Linked DNA regions of Oreochromis niloticus. The protein of the gene in region 1 interacts with the protein of each later gene in a pairwise test. Links are inferred from orthologs where the notes say so. Each region holds a gene or a part of one and is shown in the gene's direction. Other genes may lie near its edges. The genes, in order: cibar1 and cby1.

The links.
Region 2: the proteins of cibar1 (region 1) and cby1 interact in binary tests that used the Homo sapiens proteins (3 or more experiments, as listed by UniProt). The two-hybrid records come from large-scale screens. The link is inferred for Oreochromis niloticus from reciprocal best matches to the Homo sapiens genes CIBAR1 and CBY1.

Annotation. Positions count from the first base shown.
Region 1 is NC_031985.2:21,571,293-21,579,142, reverse strand, and holds the start of cibar1 (CBY1-interacting BAR domain-containing protein 1), read left to right. Parts: upstream 1-4,646; 5' UTR 4,647-4,800; coding exon 4,801-4,832; intron 4,833-5,366; coding exon 5,367-5,601; intron 5,602-5,702; coding exon 5,703-5,771; intron 5,772-7,261; coding exon 7,262-7,363; intron 7,364-7,676; coding exon 7,677-7,682; intron 7,683-7,850. UniProt on the Homo sapiens protein: Plays a critical role in regulating mitochondrial ultrastructure and function by maintaining the integrity of mitochondrial morphology, particularly the organization of cristae.
Region 2 is NC_031973.2:22,606,224-22,614,427, forward strand, and holds cby1 (protein chibby homolog 1), read left to right. Parts: upstream 1-5,124; 5' UTR 5,125-5,257; coding exon 5,258-5,263; intron 5,264-5,485; coding exon 5,486-5,584; intron 5,585-5,715; coding exon 5,716-5,821; intron 5,822-5,950; coding exon 5,951-6,063; intron 6,064-6,538; coding exon 6,539-6,619; 3' UTR 6,620-7,926; coding exon of another isoform or gene 7,927-7,939; 3' UTR 7,940-7,940; downstream 7,941-8,204. Other genes in the region: plbd1b (phospholipase B-like 1), read right to left, coding at 1,803-1,947, 2,277-2,423, 2,511-2,652, 3,351-3,434, 3,678-3,900, 4,403-4,508; pdap1a (pdgfa associated protein 1a), read left to right, coding at 7,927-7,939. UniProt on the Homo sapiens protein: Inhibits the Wnt/Wingless pathway by binding to CTNNB1/beta-catenin and inhibiting beta-catenin-mediated transcriptional activation through competition with TCF/LEF transcription factors.

The DNA of each region.
Region 1 (7,850 bases):
GGCAGAGGCAGACAGGCAGTGTTGGAGGCTCCCACTAATTTGATCTGGTGACATTTTCTTCTCCAGCTCCTCAGGGGGAAAAGAGCAGCAGAGACAGAGTGAGGGAGTTAGAAAAGGAGGTGCTTGGAGAGAGAGTAAGAGAGAGATAAAGAGGGGGAGAGAGCGAGAGAGTGATGGCGAAGGAGACACTAATGAACACAGACAACAAAGACCCTAACCTGAGCTCCAAGCCCCTGGAGACACAGAGAGGTTTTTCATTGGGTCAATAAAAGCACTGGACCGTGTCTGCGTTGGCTTGCCCTTCAAGCACCCGCTTAACTACTGAGGGAGACTTTTGTTCAAGGTTGCTGGAGTTAAAGGGAGTATCACTGAATTTCATATCTGAAAATTGCAGAGAGTGTTGATCATAGTCTATTGTGTGCAGAAAGATCTGCGACATCTTGTTTGAGGGAAACCAAAGCGCACAGGGGATGTGTTACAGTCACTATGTCACTAGATTTTAATTCAAAGCTATGGTTCTGCTGTAATAAAGTTTAGTTAGATGCAAAATCTCAATCAAACAAGGCAATCATATATTGATAAATATAGAACGTCTGTTTTTTTAAAATTTAGACTCACTCAAAGGGAGCTTTTAATTGCATCGGAGAATAAATCAATTCTTAATTTAAGGACTATCTCAAAGTTAAACAATAAATAACTGACACCAAGGTATATGGAGAAAGGATGACTATATTTCCCACTGGATATTTCAGAGTTAATTTCTGCAAGAGAGCAGCGCGGTGTCCCTTTGCCAAATCGGAGGAACGTGGCAGTTAGAGGAAGGAGAGAGAGGTTAGCCAAAATCAGCATGATGAGTTATTGACTCTTGGCTTGTAATTTCATTTTATGCACCAAGTGGCATACAAGATATCACACTGTTCATAATCCTCAGCGTCCCTGAACACACACGCGTGCCTCCCACTGACTCCTTCTTGTTATTAAAGGGGAATCTAAAGCCGTATGTCTTCCTCCAGTGTGGGAGGAGAGCCTCGAGTCTGCAGTCTTCACACCAGGACTCACACCTGAAGGGAAAGCGCGAACATGCACACACACATGCACAAAAACACTGGGGGATATATACTTAGTTGCCCTACGAAGTCCCCCCACGTCTGACATATGTCACTCCCAATCTGTTCAGCAGGCCACACATCTCTCTAGTGGGGTACTGGCACAGCGGCACAGAGGGCTGCAGAGGGAAAAGGCTGGGCAGAGGGAAAAACAGAAAGAGCTGAAGACTGAACAAGAGGGCACAGGGGGACGGAGACAGCAAGAGAGTGAGAAGAGAGCATGAAAGAGGCAGAGAGAGCTGCTGCTAGTGGTTGCCACCCTTTCCGTGCTAATTGGTAGTCTGGAAACAACACCATCTGTTCTTTAAGAAAGTCAGATGCACAATATAAAAATATGCCACCACTCCTGAATACATTTACAAGCAGCCAAGGCAAATAACTCAACAGCCCCAGGCTTCTTTCAACACAAGGATCCTGTAGGACACCAGCTAGACAGGCATCTGTTATATTTGTTATAATGTTTAGGGATGTTAAATCTAGTCCTGGGTTCCTGCCAGGGAGTGCTGAATAATGTAAATATATGATGGTGGAGATGGATCGAGAAGAGGTCTGCAGAATATTTTTTATGTATGAAGTAGGAAAGGAGAAGGAATAATTCAGAGTCCACCTGTAACCATGCCGATTGCCATTTACATCCTAGGAAAAGGCACAAATGGAAGTGGGGTGCCATCATGTGGATGAATAATGCAATCACACTTAAAAGAAGGAGAAGAAATGCTGCTTTACGTGTACCACTTAATTATCAAATAATAAAGAGAGAGAAAATGTGGCCGTAGATGTAGACTACCAACATTTCAGAATTAATATTCATAAAATGAGATGTGACTTTCATCTGAATATAGTGATGGGCTAATGCTTGAATTATGCTTCAGCAAGAAATCTACATCTTAACGTATGACGTTAACTGAAACTTCTTTTAACCCTACACCATAACCTTCTACATAACCTGATGTGCACCTTTTGAGAACTGTAACTACACATCTCGACGCCGGAGTGACTTGAATGAAGTGGAAGGTTGTAGTGTGGGCGTAAAAGGAGTTTCTGGTTACGACGTAAGTTCAGACATGTTTTCCCCCAGAAGTCTAAATCAAGCTTAAGCTGATGAAATAATCACCTATACTTTTTATGCCTTTGTTTCACACAGTGCTCATGGTGAAAATAAATACCTCTTCAAATTAAGAAGTCCAGATCCTCCTTTTGCAGCAGCAATTAGCAGTTTATAGACTTGTACAGGAATTAATCCTACAATCAAGTCTGAACTGAACAGTCTTCTTTAGGTCACAGCAGTGCATCAGCTGCCCTTTCAAGGACTTCTTGACACAGTTTTGAATTTTTTGTTCAGACCCTGATCCAAATCATAGTGCTCCTTCCACTATCACTCAGATTTTAATGCTGCTTTGCAATTTTGGCTAAATATTTAAATAGAGATTTTAGCACGTTACTGGTATTTCTGAAGGTGTTTCCTTTTAATCTCTGGTTCTTTTTACATGACGCAATCTTGACGACATGCATGATGTGGGAGAATAACAGCAGTCCAGAATTTCTACTTCATCTGACATCCTAGGAATTTTGCTGAGTTGATTGAGTGCAGCTTTTCCAATCTCATCTTCATACCCAAAACAGTGTACAGAAAAGGTACAGTTGTCTATGTGTGGTTTAACCTGGTTGTGTTTATTGATGACTGTGACCTTACATGACATTCAGACCACATTATATGAGAAATAAATCCTAGTGAGTCACAATTTTTCTTCCAATGGAATTAAAAAGATTATTGCTGAACAAGCCAAAAAACTCCCCAGCTCCCCTTAATGTCCACATCCACACACCCAGTAACAATCACACTGATTCACACTAATCACTCTCACACACAACAGTTGGAATTACAGGAATGGATAGAAAATGATTGATTGATGCTGTTCAATCAAAAATAATCCTTATATGTGGGAATAAAAGCAATACTAATGCTTTTCTTTTTACTGCAGAAAAGAAATGGGTTTAAATGTTCATTAGACCGATAAAAAAAAAAAATCCAGATGCTAGAAACCATCAATCTTAGAATGAGAAGGTTCTATGAGATGCATTTAACAAAAAAAATTAATCTATACCAACATCAGCTGTATTGGAGAGGATAAACTGGGTTCTCTTGGGATTCCAGGCACACAGCTCAATGCAATGACCGTGTTTTACATCTCCAATCTGTTACAGTGGGATCTCCCCTGCTTCAATCCCATGGATGATTAAGCGTGATAATTAAGGTTTTTGGACATTTTCCACAGAGGAGCAGACGTGGCAGCTGGTGACATTCATGCATTCCCAAACACAGAGGAGGGAATTACAATGAGGCCTCCATTCATTTCAGTGATCACAAAGTCTGCTCTTGGCACCAGTTCAAAAATAGTCAAGCTGTTGTTGAAAATGACTATTTGTGGCCCTTTTTGTTGCAATGTACCTTAATCTATTTGGGAAACCGATGGAGAGCAGCCAAATATTTGGATTTTAGAGGAAGGAATTTGGCACTGTTAACACAAAGAAAAGAAATACTATTATTGCAATACTATTAATATTTGTAATAGTACAGCACAATATTACATATATTAATGAGATTAAAAAGCTGCTTTTTGTTAGTACCAGCCCATGTTGCTGTAGGAGAAAGCGGGGAACAAATTACCAAGCATGCACAAACATTAGGTTTTCAAGTTCATCAAAACTATGTTAGAAATCCTAAAGTGAAACAGATGGATATTTAAAAATTTCATGGTTATGATGACAAGGTATTCATACAAAAATGCATCATTGTTGTTTTAATAAGAGGCATTTGTCTCAGTTAGACACTGCATTATACAGATATGCATTATACAGTCTTGAAGCATTCAAACCTTATGATTCAGAGACAGCAGAATTTAGGCTGTGTAAGAAAGGTGCATTATAATAAATAAATAAATAAATAAATACCCTTTGATATCTGGTTCAAAAAAGACTGACACTGAGAACACTTAAGGAAATCCTTTCCTACTGTTCTTTATAAAACCCTACATCAACTCCCTTTTTTATGACAGGCGAACACACATGTCAGGATGCAGCACACATTTCCGTGTTATTCCTTTGTGCTGTTGTTTCTTAACCTAGTGTAATAGTGTAATTTGTTAATGTTATTTGCACTACTGTTTACTAAAAAAAAAAATTTGTACAATATTATTTTTCATTAACTTTTTTTCATCATTTTATCAGTTTTGTATATAAAATTTTGCGCCATCTCACATTATAATCGTGTGGGTCTGCGGTACTTTTAACAGTGTTGCCTCTGTTTGTCTGTTTGTCTGTCTATCTATCTATAGGTCATCCCTGTGATAGATAGAGTAGATAATTACATTAGACATTATTGCATACCTGTCCATCTTCCGTCATCTTAAGAAGCTGTAGCTGTAAAGAAAAAGCAACTTTTTCAGTGACTTCAAAGAAAAGGACAGAAATAAAAAAGAGAGACAAAGATGGAGAGCTTACAGCTATAACGACTCCATCTCCCAGGATTCCTTTTTGCACTCCTAAAGCGGAAACGCTCCAGGGACTCCATGGAAACGGCCAGCTGGCGTGCTTGCCTGATAGAAAAGAGCGTTCATAGATAGCTAGCTAACGTAAAATCAGAGATTCTGTCAACGCGGATCTATTCGAACATATTTCACACTGTGTGCTTGCAATGATGAGCCGTACGCCTGACGCGAGAGCGAGGTAAGAAAGATCCCACCCGCCAAAACACATCCCGTGTTATTTGGTGGGGAGAGTTAACGTTAGCAAAAAAATAAACGGACATACTGTGTATGCATAAAGGTAGGCTAGCAGTTAACTAGTTAACCTGTGTCGTCACGCTTCTCATTGATAAACTGCACTCATAACGAGTTATTTGTTCGTCGGTTAAGTCATAGTTAGTGATGCTATATAGCTATAGAGTCACTATTCACTAAACGGGGATGTGTTTATAATACTAAAACAGCGCATTTACTAGTTTAGCTGTTTTATTGCATGTAGCTGGTTGAGTGACCGTATAACCAAGAGTAATGGAGCGAAGGATAACAAGCAAGGATGCATCGCATTTACAGGATGTTTTTATGGATTGCTACTTGCATTTAGATGAAACAGCAAAAAGTAATTTTCACAGGCCTTGTGCAAAATAGACGTTTATCGTTTTCCCTACTCAAATATATGAAACCCTTTATAAAATTATGTTTGATTACTGCTGTTGATGTTCTCCTTTATCCTTTCCAGGGATAACCAGACAAGGAGGATCCAAGAGAACATCACCAATGTGGAGAAACATTTTGGACAGATGTGCCAACTCTTTGCTGCCTATGTCCGTAAGACAGCCAAGGTACGAGACAAGGCAGACCTTCTGGTCCAGGAAATTGGCTTGTATGCAGACACCGAAACACCAAGCCTTAAGAGGGGGATGAAGCAGTATGCCGACCATCTGGCCAAGATTCAAGATTATCGTCAAGCTCAGGTGGACCTCCTTGAATCCTTACCTTCAATCATTATTTCATGTTCATATCCATAATTTAAATAATGGGTAGAAGAGAAACTAATGCAGAGCTGGTCTTGCAGGTGGAACGACTTGAATCTAAAATCATAGAGCCATTAAAAAGCTATGGAGCTGTAGTGAAACGGAAAAGGGTAAGTTTTACTGCAGCCTGCTGTCATGTTGACACTGATTTGAACCACACATCCATCCAGTCAGGTGGGCTGGAGCCTATCCCAGCTGTCATAAAGCAGGATTTGGGGTACAAGCTGGACAGGTAACCAGGTTGTCACAGGGCCAACGGGGATTTTAGTGAATTTTTTCAGTGCCTTTTTGTGACTTTTTCTGTCACATATTTGCATGTTAAAATCCAAAGTTTTACACACAAATTCATAAGTAAATTTGTCAAATTTAGCAATAGTGTCGCTAAATGAATAATTCGATTCAATTTTATATAGCGCCAAATCACAACAACAGTTGCCTCAAGGTGCTTTATATTGTACAGTAGATCCTACAATAATAGATACAGAGAAAAACCCAACAATCATATGACCCCCTATGAGCAAGCACTTTGGCGACAGTGGGAAGGAAAAACTCCCTTTTAACAAGAAGAAACCTCCAGCAGAACCAGGCTCAGGGAGGGGCGGGGCCATCTGCTGCGACCGGTTGGGGTGAGAGAAGGAGGCAGGATAAAGACATGCTGTGGAAGAGAGACAGAGATTAATAACAGGTATGATTCAATGCAGAGAGATCTATTAACACATAGTGAGTGAGAAAGGTGACTGGAAAGGAAAAACTCAATGCATCATGGGAATCCCCCGGCAACCTACGTCTATTGCAGCATTACTAAGGGAGGATTCAGGGTCACCTGGTCCAGCCCTAACTATATGCTTTAGCAAAAAGGAAAGTTTTAAGCCTAATCTTAAAAGAGAGATAGTGTCTGTCTCCCGAATCCAAATGGGAAGCTGGTTCTACAGAAGAGGGGCCTGAAAACTGAAGGCTCTCCCTCCCATTCTACTTTTAAATACTCTAGGAACAACAAGTAAGCCTGGATAAAGGAGCCTAGGGGGCAGTGAGGGACGCAGATCAATTTGCTGTTGGTGTCATTACTATGGCAAAGGCACATGAGGGCAGTATTGTCTTAATGATAACATATCGCTACCTCTTCAAGCCACTTTGACCCATTGCCAGCACTCTGCTAACCACTATTTTTTTAAAGTATATCAAGAGGACATCCTGTGGTACTTCACAGACAATTTGGACACTACTGTCCAAATTGACTTAAGTAAATGTTTGCCTTGTTTGGCTTTTAGTCTTTGTGTGTGTGTGTGTGTGTGTGTGTGTGTGTGTGTGTGTTTACTTGTATTCTGCTCTTGCATGCATTCATTCATTTTAATTTTTTTAAAAATGTGCCCTTTCCTTCAATATATTCAACGACTAAAGTCACAGAGCAATTAAAAAGCTATGGTTGACAGTACAGTTGAAGATAAACCAAAAACTTGCACAACAGGATCTACTGGAGATCCTGATCCTCACTGATTCACACCAAATTCCTATATGTTAAGTCATGTTTAGCAAATTGTGCATTACACGCTACCATTATTAATTATTTTGATAACTTCTGCGTATTTGTGTATCTGTGCAGGAGGATCTGAAGACTACTCAGAGTGCCAGAGACAGAGAAGCCAAACAGATGGCTCAGCTCGAGAGGACCAGGCAGAGAAACCCCTCAGACAGGCAGATCATTGTATCCTTGACTTGTTTCTCTTCAGTTCTTTAAATCTCTCTCTGATACCAGATTGACAAAAAGGCTTCAGTGTTACAACAGCCATCTGTATGTATAATCAAATGGATGCCTGCTAATATCAATTCAATTCTTCGTTAGTTATAGACATCAGCTTGGAGCTGTTTGAAATGTTTGTCGTGTCAACTTTGGAGAGTTTTACCTGCAAATGGCAAATTCCTGTGATGTGGTAACAAGTGCTGTACAGGAGCCACCTGCAGAATTAGAATGAACAGACAAGCTTATATTTCTTAAGTTTCCTTGACTGAGCTTTCAGTCTCAGGTGCGTCCCGTGTAATATGTGTTTTCATCAGTGGTAATGTATGAGTAGAAATATAAAAAACATTCCAGAATTAAACTTAGAAACAAACTCGCAAGCACAGTGTAAATTCTTTACAAGAGCTCAAACCAGTTGGACACAGCACCTGACTTATTTTAGTCCAGTATGTTT
Region 2 (8,204 bases), on another chromosome or scaffold:
CAGTAGTGGATGTCACAGCAAATGTGCAATGCTAAAAGAAACTGCAAAACTCCCAAGAGATACATCACAAACTCTACAGGCCTCACTTACCATGTTAAATATTAAAATTAAGCACAGTGCAATTAACAAAAGGCTGAACAAGCATGGCTTTTTTGGAAGGATTTCTGGAAATGAGCCTCTTCTCTCCAAAAACAACACTGGAGCACGCCTCAATCTGCAAAGTTGTAGCTAAACAAGCCACAAGACCTCTGGAACAATGACCTTTGGACAGACGAGATCAGCGTGGAGATATCTGACCATTGTGTGCAGCGTTACATTTGCTGAAAACCAAACACAGCATATCAGCACAAACACCTCATACCAACTGTCAACACTGCGGTGGCGGGGTGATGATCTGAGACCTTTGTGGTCACCGAGTCAAGCAGGAACTTCTCTGTATGCCAAAGTATTCTAGAGTCAAACGTGAGGACATCTGTCCGATAGCTAAAGCTTGACTCAAAATGGTTCATGCAACATGTCAACAATCCCATGCACAGCAACAAATCTACAACAGAATGGCTAAAAAAAGGAAAAAATGAAAGTTCATAGACCCAGGCAAAGTGACTGAAGGCTGTGGCGGGACCTCAGGAGAGCTGTGCATTAATGAACGCCCACAAACCTCAATACACTGAAGAACCTTGTAAAGAACAGTGCGTTGAAGTTCCTTCACAGTGATGTGAGAGTCTGTTAAAGTCATAAAGAAAACAATTATTTCAGGTTATTGCTGCTAAAGGTGCTTCTACAAGTAGTTTTTCACAGCACTTCATGCTATGCTGTGAAAACTTTATTTTCATGTGACTGTATGACTTTTGTTAAAGATATCAATATCACGCTCATGAATAACAAGTACCAGAAGTGTTATCACCATTCCTCTTCTGATTGCGTGTATTATAATAATTTCAAGTTTCAACTTGTCATACTACTTTTATGATAACACCAGGTAGAAATACTCTATACTACTCTGTATTCTATACATGAAAAGGAAATCCAACTCCTGCACTAGAAGTGCTACTGCCTCTTCTGCTGGTGGTGTTATTAACAATAAAAGCCAGATGTCTCTGAATATTTCCACCACTGAGACCGCTCAGCATCTCTTCTTGTTCTCATGGCGCTGACCTGCAGTGCATGATGAATCCTCAGTACTGTCAGAGGGGAAGCAGCTTAGGAAGGCCACAGGGGGTGCACGTCACCTCTGCTGACCCCATTGTATTTCATCTCTTTGTTTCAATATAGTGAGGTGATATCCTTGGCCTGCTGCTCTCTAAATATAGTGCTTTAAAACCACTTATGTCCTGATAGCACTGGAGTCCACAAGAGGATTTTTTTATGGCCTGGTCCACGTGACAAATCTTTAGCCACAAAATTTCTCTGTCTCCTCTAACTCTACAGTGAGGGGAGTGTAGCTCTGTTTGAGCGTGTGCACAAACACACGCTGGATTCAGTGTTTTCTTATTACTGCCTAAGCTGCATGCTTTGCAGGAGAATTGTGTCGAGTAGGAAATGTTCATTGGGGATTTGGGTTAATTCCTGGATGTCAGTGTTCATATTTTCCCTTGTGGATTAAGGATAAGAAGTTCACCTCACCTCGGAGCTTTTGCAAGAAAGAAGTGAAGTCTGTTCTTTGAAAATCCCTCTTCTTCTGCAAATCGATCTTTTTTTCCAAAGTTACTCGAGACACATTGGTTATTTGAGTATATTTATGCATATAAGTGTGCAGTTGTGCAGCTTTTATAGTGTATGCGATGTAGTGGGAGTGTGTGTACCAGGGTAGCTGCTGAACGACATCTTTCCAGTGGCTACGTGTGTGTCAGACACCTTGAAGTCCCAGTGTTTATAGATCCGCATGGTGGCTGCATAAGTATACCAGCTAGAGTGGCCGACTAGCAGGTTCTCAAAGCCTGGAAGAACCTGAGACACAGAGAAGAGAGAGAAAGAGAAACATCTATATTTTTTAAAAGAAACAACATACCATCACTGAATCATAAAAGAAAGAGTTTAACTTTATTAAGACACATTAAAGGGGTCTTAATAAAAATCCAGTAACACACATCCATTTGAACTTTGTCTTTGTTCCATAGATTGGTGTACGTGGAAGAGGAAATAAGCCCCTTGCAATGGCCTTTTACACTCATTTAAAAGAAGAAAACCCTGCTCACAGAGGCCAATAAAAGCAGTTAGGTTTGTGTTGAGGTTTTCCCAAGGGCTCCCTCACTTGAGCCAAATGAGCTTGGCCTAACCTTTATGAGAGCTGTGCAGTGGCCCATTCCAGGCATCCTGAAAGCGCCGGACCCTGCGGAGGAGTTGGAGCGAGGTGTCAGAGCTGGGACAAGATCCAAGAGGTCACCGACACCATTTAGAAACTGGACCGTGAACGCTGATAGAGGCTGCGCAGGAGGGAAAGAGCAAGTGGCAAGAGATCCATGAAATGACTGTGACAACTCTCTCACAACCACAAACACACACATACACACCTCCCTGTGTTTGCTTTTGGCCCACAGTGCAGCTCCTGCGTGGAGTCCATCCAGCTGAGCCAGGATCAGTCCCATATGCCTCCACAAGGGGTCACTGTTTCTCCTGAGCTTCACCTGCTCTCTGGCCCACTGGTCTTGTTTGCTGGGGTTAATTCAAATGGTGCAGTTTTACATCACTCTAACAATCAATAGGTGCATAAATATAATTTGTAAATTCTGTATAGACAGTTGATAGTTATGAGGCACTATCATAGAATGTATATAAAAGATGGACGTATATGTCCGCTGCCTAAATGAGTCTTGTAAAGCCTTCAACTAAACTTTGCGATCTTTGGTGTTTTGCTGTCTTGAACCCAGGTGTGACGGGTAAGGTGTGAATATGACAGAGAACTGATGCATACCACTGCATGCTTTAAATTTACACAGCTGTGAAGAAGTATTTGACTTTCATAACAATGACCACATCACCAGAATTTATCCAGTAAGACTTAAGACTGAGCCTATAAACTTAGTGTTTCCTGAGGTCACAGATTAAGTGAGCATTAAGATAATTTCCCTAAACTTCTACACAGTCTTTTTGCCAACAGGAGAGTCACCTCCTGCAGGCTATTAAAAGCAGAGAAGGGTTGAATCACTTACCTTACAGACTGACTTTTGAAACCTTGAAGCTACACCCATCTTTTATATACACTCTGTGCACAATACTGGTTAACCCAGCCTCTGAAAAAGCATCTTGAAGGCAATGGAAAACAAAGAGAAACCCCTATAAATCCAGTATTAGACATGGGATTACTCTTAGTTTAATCCATGGCTTTGATTTTATATAATTTAACACTGTACCTCAAAAAGTTTTTCAAGGGCTCCAGAACCTTTTCATCCTTGATCAGCTGAGGGTACATGTTGGAGTAATGACTGAACATCTGTCTGCAACGGAAGGAGAACAAGCAGTGAGGGATTAGCCCACATAAAAGTATTCTGCATGTTACAGGCAGAGCTAGCAGCTACACCTAATAAGAAATGTAATCAAACTGTAACGAACTGAAGTTGACCTGTATCTGCATTATGTGTTGGACTGAATTGCTGCCACATGATTGGCTCACTGGAAAATTGCATGAAAAGTGCTCATTGAGTGTATTTTCATGCTTGCACTTTGCCTGTGCCGCTCACCCAGCAGTGAGGTAACCTTCCAGGTAGCCAGCCAAGAAGAAGGTGGTCTCATCTTCCTGAGTGACTTCTCCATAGCCTGCATTGATCTCCAGGACGCCCCATCCTGAGAGGAGCAGAGTGTCATTGAAGTACCCATACGCTCCCCCCTCGGTCTCCATCAACCCCTCCTTCAGGATCACACTTTTCTGGGCAGCATCCCAGTGCACAGTGGCCTCTTGGAGTTCTACCATTGTAGGAGGATGGGTTACATGCTTGAAGTTAGATAACACACATTATGTAAGATAATGTCATGACACAGATAGAATAATTACAACAAAAGCTACATTTTTCGGTGCTTTCTCATGTGCTACTATTTTCTGTCAAATGAATACTCATTGTATATTAATATTATAAGGACGCTAACACAATGTTGTGTTAGTGTCCTTGCTCGAATCAATACACAAGCATATTTTTTAAACTTACATTTGTTGACATAAGTGTTACAAAAACATTTTAAAAAGAAAAGATGTGCTTAAATGCATTTAAATGGTTATGGTATTTCGAGTTGCATGTTCAAATCATGTTAAATTTTAAAACTGTAAAATTTAGACCGGAGAGAACAAAGTAACGGTCCATTAAAGAAGTGCTGTAAAGCGGTAAAGATACTTACTTTGTGTTTAGCGGAGTTATAGGGATATAAAATTGGTTCCCGCCGTGTACAGACACGCCACAGTAAGGTTACTCACGGTAAGTTTGGAGCTTCACGTTCGCTCTTCTGAATTCATCCGTGGATTTTACGGATGCAGCTAAAGTGCTCAGCAGTACGCAGAGTGCCATTCTGCGCTTATCCATGTCAGCCGAGGAAGTCCCGTGTTCTGCTTGCCTCTCGCCTAGTTAGGCACACATATTCTTCAAACGTATTAAGATTGATCTGTGAAGATTTTCTTCCACAGACAACGAAGCACTTAAATGACTTCTTTGAAGGCTAAGGTTATCTTATGCGATAGCGAAAAGGAGAACACCCCAGATGGGACTCGAACCCACAATCCCTGGCTTAGGAGGCCAGTGCCTTATCCATTAGGCCACTGGGGCGGCGTATACAGTGGGGCGGGGTCACTGTTTTTCAACTCCACGCGTGACCTACTGAAATAGTGTTTGTTTTATCTGTACTTTTTTTTACATTACCATTATCTGCATTGTGTTGTTCATAATAGTCAATTTAATGTATGGAGTTATTTTTTTTAATTATTTGAGCTTATCCGAATAAAATATTAAAGCGTCGTACCGCAAAGACGGTAAAAGATCACCATGGTGATGCTCCGTTACACGGGTTGTTCCATTATCATTCAGAAACAGGAAGATCTTATTAAACTATGAATACGATGCCCCACAAAAAGCTGTAAAACGGTGGATTAAATTTTAGTTTCTTTAAAGGTATTATGGTGGACAATTTTTTCCCGAATAGTTTGTGCGAAAGTCGTGTAATGTTTCAGGATTGCCTACTTTGGACAAATGGAAAATTCGCACTTGCGCAGTGGCAAGCATGTTCTGAGAGAAACGGATACAGGTCACCACTTTAAGAACTTAAATAAATACTCTGTATGGAGGTAAATATGTTAGTTGTATATTTAAATTGAAACAGCATTAGCTGAATAATCTGAAAGTCAGGGGATAATTTCATTAAATTGTGAGATATGAGTGATTCAAACAGCTAGCCGCCTAGCATTAATTTGGTCGTGCAGCGCTAGCGACGGTAAACACAGTGAGAAGCTAGGCGAAGCTAGCTTTATCTTAAAATTTGTAATTCCCACTCGCCGTCTCTGATACAGGACCTTAAAAGATCACTGAGGATGCCTCTGTTTGGAAACACATTTAGTCCTAAAAAGATTCCTCCACGTAAATCCGCCTCCTTGTCCAGCCTCCACACGGTGAGTTAATGAATTTTACCATCATTCACACACTGGAAACACTAGTTATAGAGCACGTTTAGGGTGGTTAATCTGCATAACATCCTGAGAGATAGCATTCACCGTAATTTATACCTTTTTATCTTTTTTAGTTGGATCGTTCAACTCGAGAAATAGAGCTGGGCCTTGAGTATGGACCTCCTGTGATGAACATTGGAGGTCAGGTCTTGAAATTTGAAGAGGGACAGTGGATTACAGGTAATGGGTTTTCTGAATAATTACCTTTTAGTCCTGTGTGTTTGTGTGTGTGTGTGTTTTTTATCAACGTCTGCCTCCCTGTGGCCAACACAGCATAAACTCTGTTTTTTTTCTCCTTTGTGAAACCAGAATCTGGTGGAAATGTGTCTAATAGGGAAGTTCAGCGGCTTAAGAAAAGAAATATCCAGCTGGAGGAGGAAAATAACGTATTAAAACTAAAGATTGAACTTCTCCTGGATATGGTAAGACCAAATGTAATTACATTGTGAGTAACATTAAGGATGCAATATGAGGCTCTGAGGTAGGAAAGTTTTTTTTGCCTCCTCTGCAAAGCTGTTATAACTGCATAATACTGCTTTTTGTAGGCTGCAAATTATATTTAAGTTATATATGTAATTACCAGTTCATTCAATTATATAACCCGGTTTGTCGCAAAATAGGTCCCAGTCTGTTTCAATGTTTCCTACACATACACCATGTATATAGTTCCACTCACACATGTATATATATACACTGCTTTTTATTTTATTTTATTCTATTTATTTATTTATTTATTTTCCACCTTCGATGTATATTGGTTTCTCTTTTTCTTACTTTAGCACCTTTGTGGTCCAGCTACCCAATTTCGCTGTGCAAGAAACTGCACAATGACAATAAAAAGCTCTAAGTCTAAGTCTCTAAGTCTCTAAATAGTAATCTTTAATCTTTTCCTTCAAGTTGACCGAGACTACGGTAGAGTATCACCTGATGGAGAAAGAAGTGGAAGAAGTCAAGACTCAACATCGAAGGAAAAAGTGACAGATCTGATCTAGTGCCTCCATTGAATAAAGTGTTTTCTTCCAAGGAAAATTTTTTTGTATCTATAGATAACAGGACAAAAGTAAAAATATCATCCATTTTCCTCACAATGAGGATTCTTGTGTTACATCTCACTCTTTATTTTCCATTTACTGTATGTGTTCTGTTTTTAATTTGTTGAGTTATTCCACCTTAAAAACCTTCTTTGGTCAATACACAGCCTATTTTCTATGCTTTGTACATTTGTATGTGATGTAAAACCTGCTTTTTAATTTTAATTTTTTCTATTTTCTTTTTGGATTAAAAGTAAACTATTGACAAAAGGCATTTCTTTCTTTTTGTTTGATTTTTGGTTTTTAGAAAATAACATTTGTGAATTGTTGGATTCATAGAAGCTCTAAAAATATACAGTAACACATTACAAAGAAAAAAATAAGAAAAGTAAGGCTTCATTCACTATTTTGGCTTTTCATTCAGCTCCACATAGTATAAGAGCAATAATCTCATATACAGTATGCCTTCCATATAGTTACTGAGTAACTTTTGTCACTGTAACTTTTGTGTGGTCAGAATTATTTACAGCTTTAATACATAGCATACAGGGCTTCTCTTTTTGTACATTGTTTTCTTTTATTTAGCTCACAAACAGAATAAAAACATGCTTTTGAAACAGGCTCAAACCCATGAAAGGAAAAGGGAAACTGAAGGCATTACATTTAATTCTTTTATTAGTTTTAGTAGTGCATAAACCTGCACAAACTCTGAGGCTGTATCTGTCTTCAATTTCAGCATCTCCTTCCCGACCGACCAATAAAGCTTGATTTATTTGTGAATTATGCTATGTTGTTCAGTCAGTCATAGGAGTTTATTCAGCACTGTCTAAAGGTTTTGTTTACTACAGTCATAGGTAGAGAAAATAAAGACAACAATGCCAAAACTTTCAGTTTATCTACCAAAATGCATTTCTAAAAACTTGGATTCAAATAACCAAATACATAATTATTATTTTATTTATTTATCCATTATTATATTATTAAACAGAAAAGCGTTACATGCAACTTTTATGAATGATGTAACTCTCTTTATCCAATTGGTCAATCCCACGTTTCAATCACGCACAGTGCGGCTCATAGTCCCAACTGCGCATGCGTACGTCTCCGCGAGCGAAAGAGGCGTCTGCCAATAGCGGGAGAGACGAAGTACTTTTTATTCTTTTCATCTAGCACTTTAAATCACCGGCGTTTCGAGTGAACTGTTGTATTATTCTTTGACGTTGTGGTGGACTTTTATAGACCTTACCTATAACAATGCCTCGTGGTGGTAAGTATTAAAACGAAAATTCACATAATGTGCCTCTTTTTGCGAGTACATTTTAGCTAGCGGATCATTAGCCCTTTGAATTCACACATGCTTAGCATGTTTAGCATGCTACATAGTTAGCATAATGTAATTTGCCGGTAAGAACGGTTTATTAAAGGCATCGGAAACGTACCGATATCCAATTATTTATTTGTTTTCACGTGAGCTCAGATGACGACTTGGTGTTAACTTAAACCTGAATAGTATTTGATTTTTTGTTTTGCTT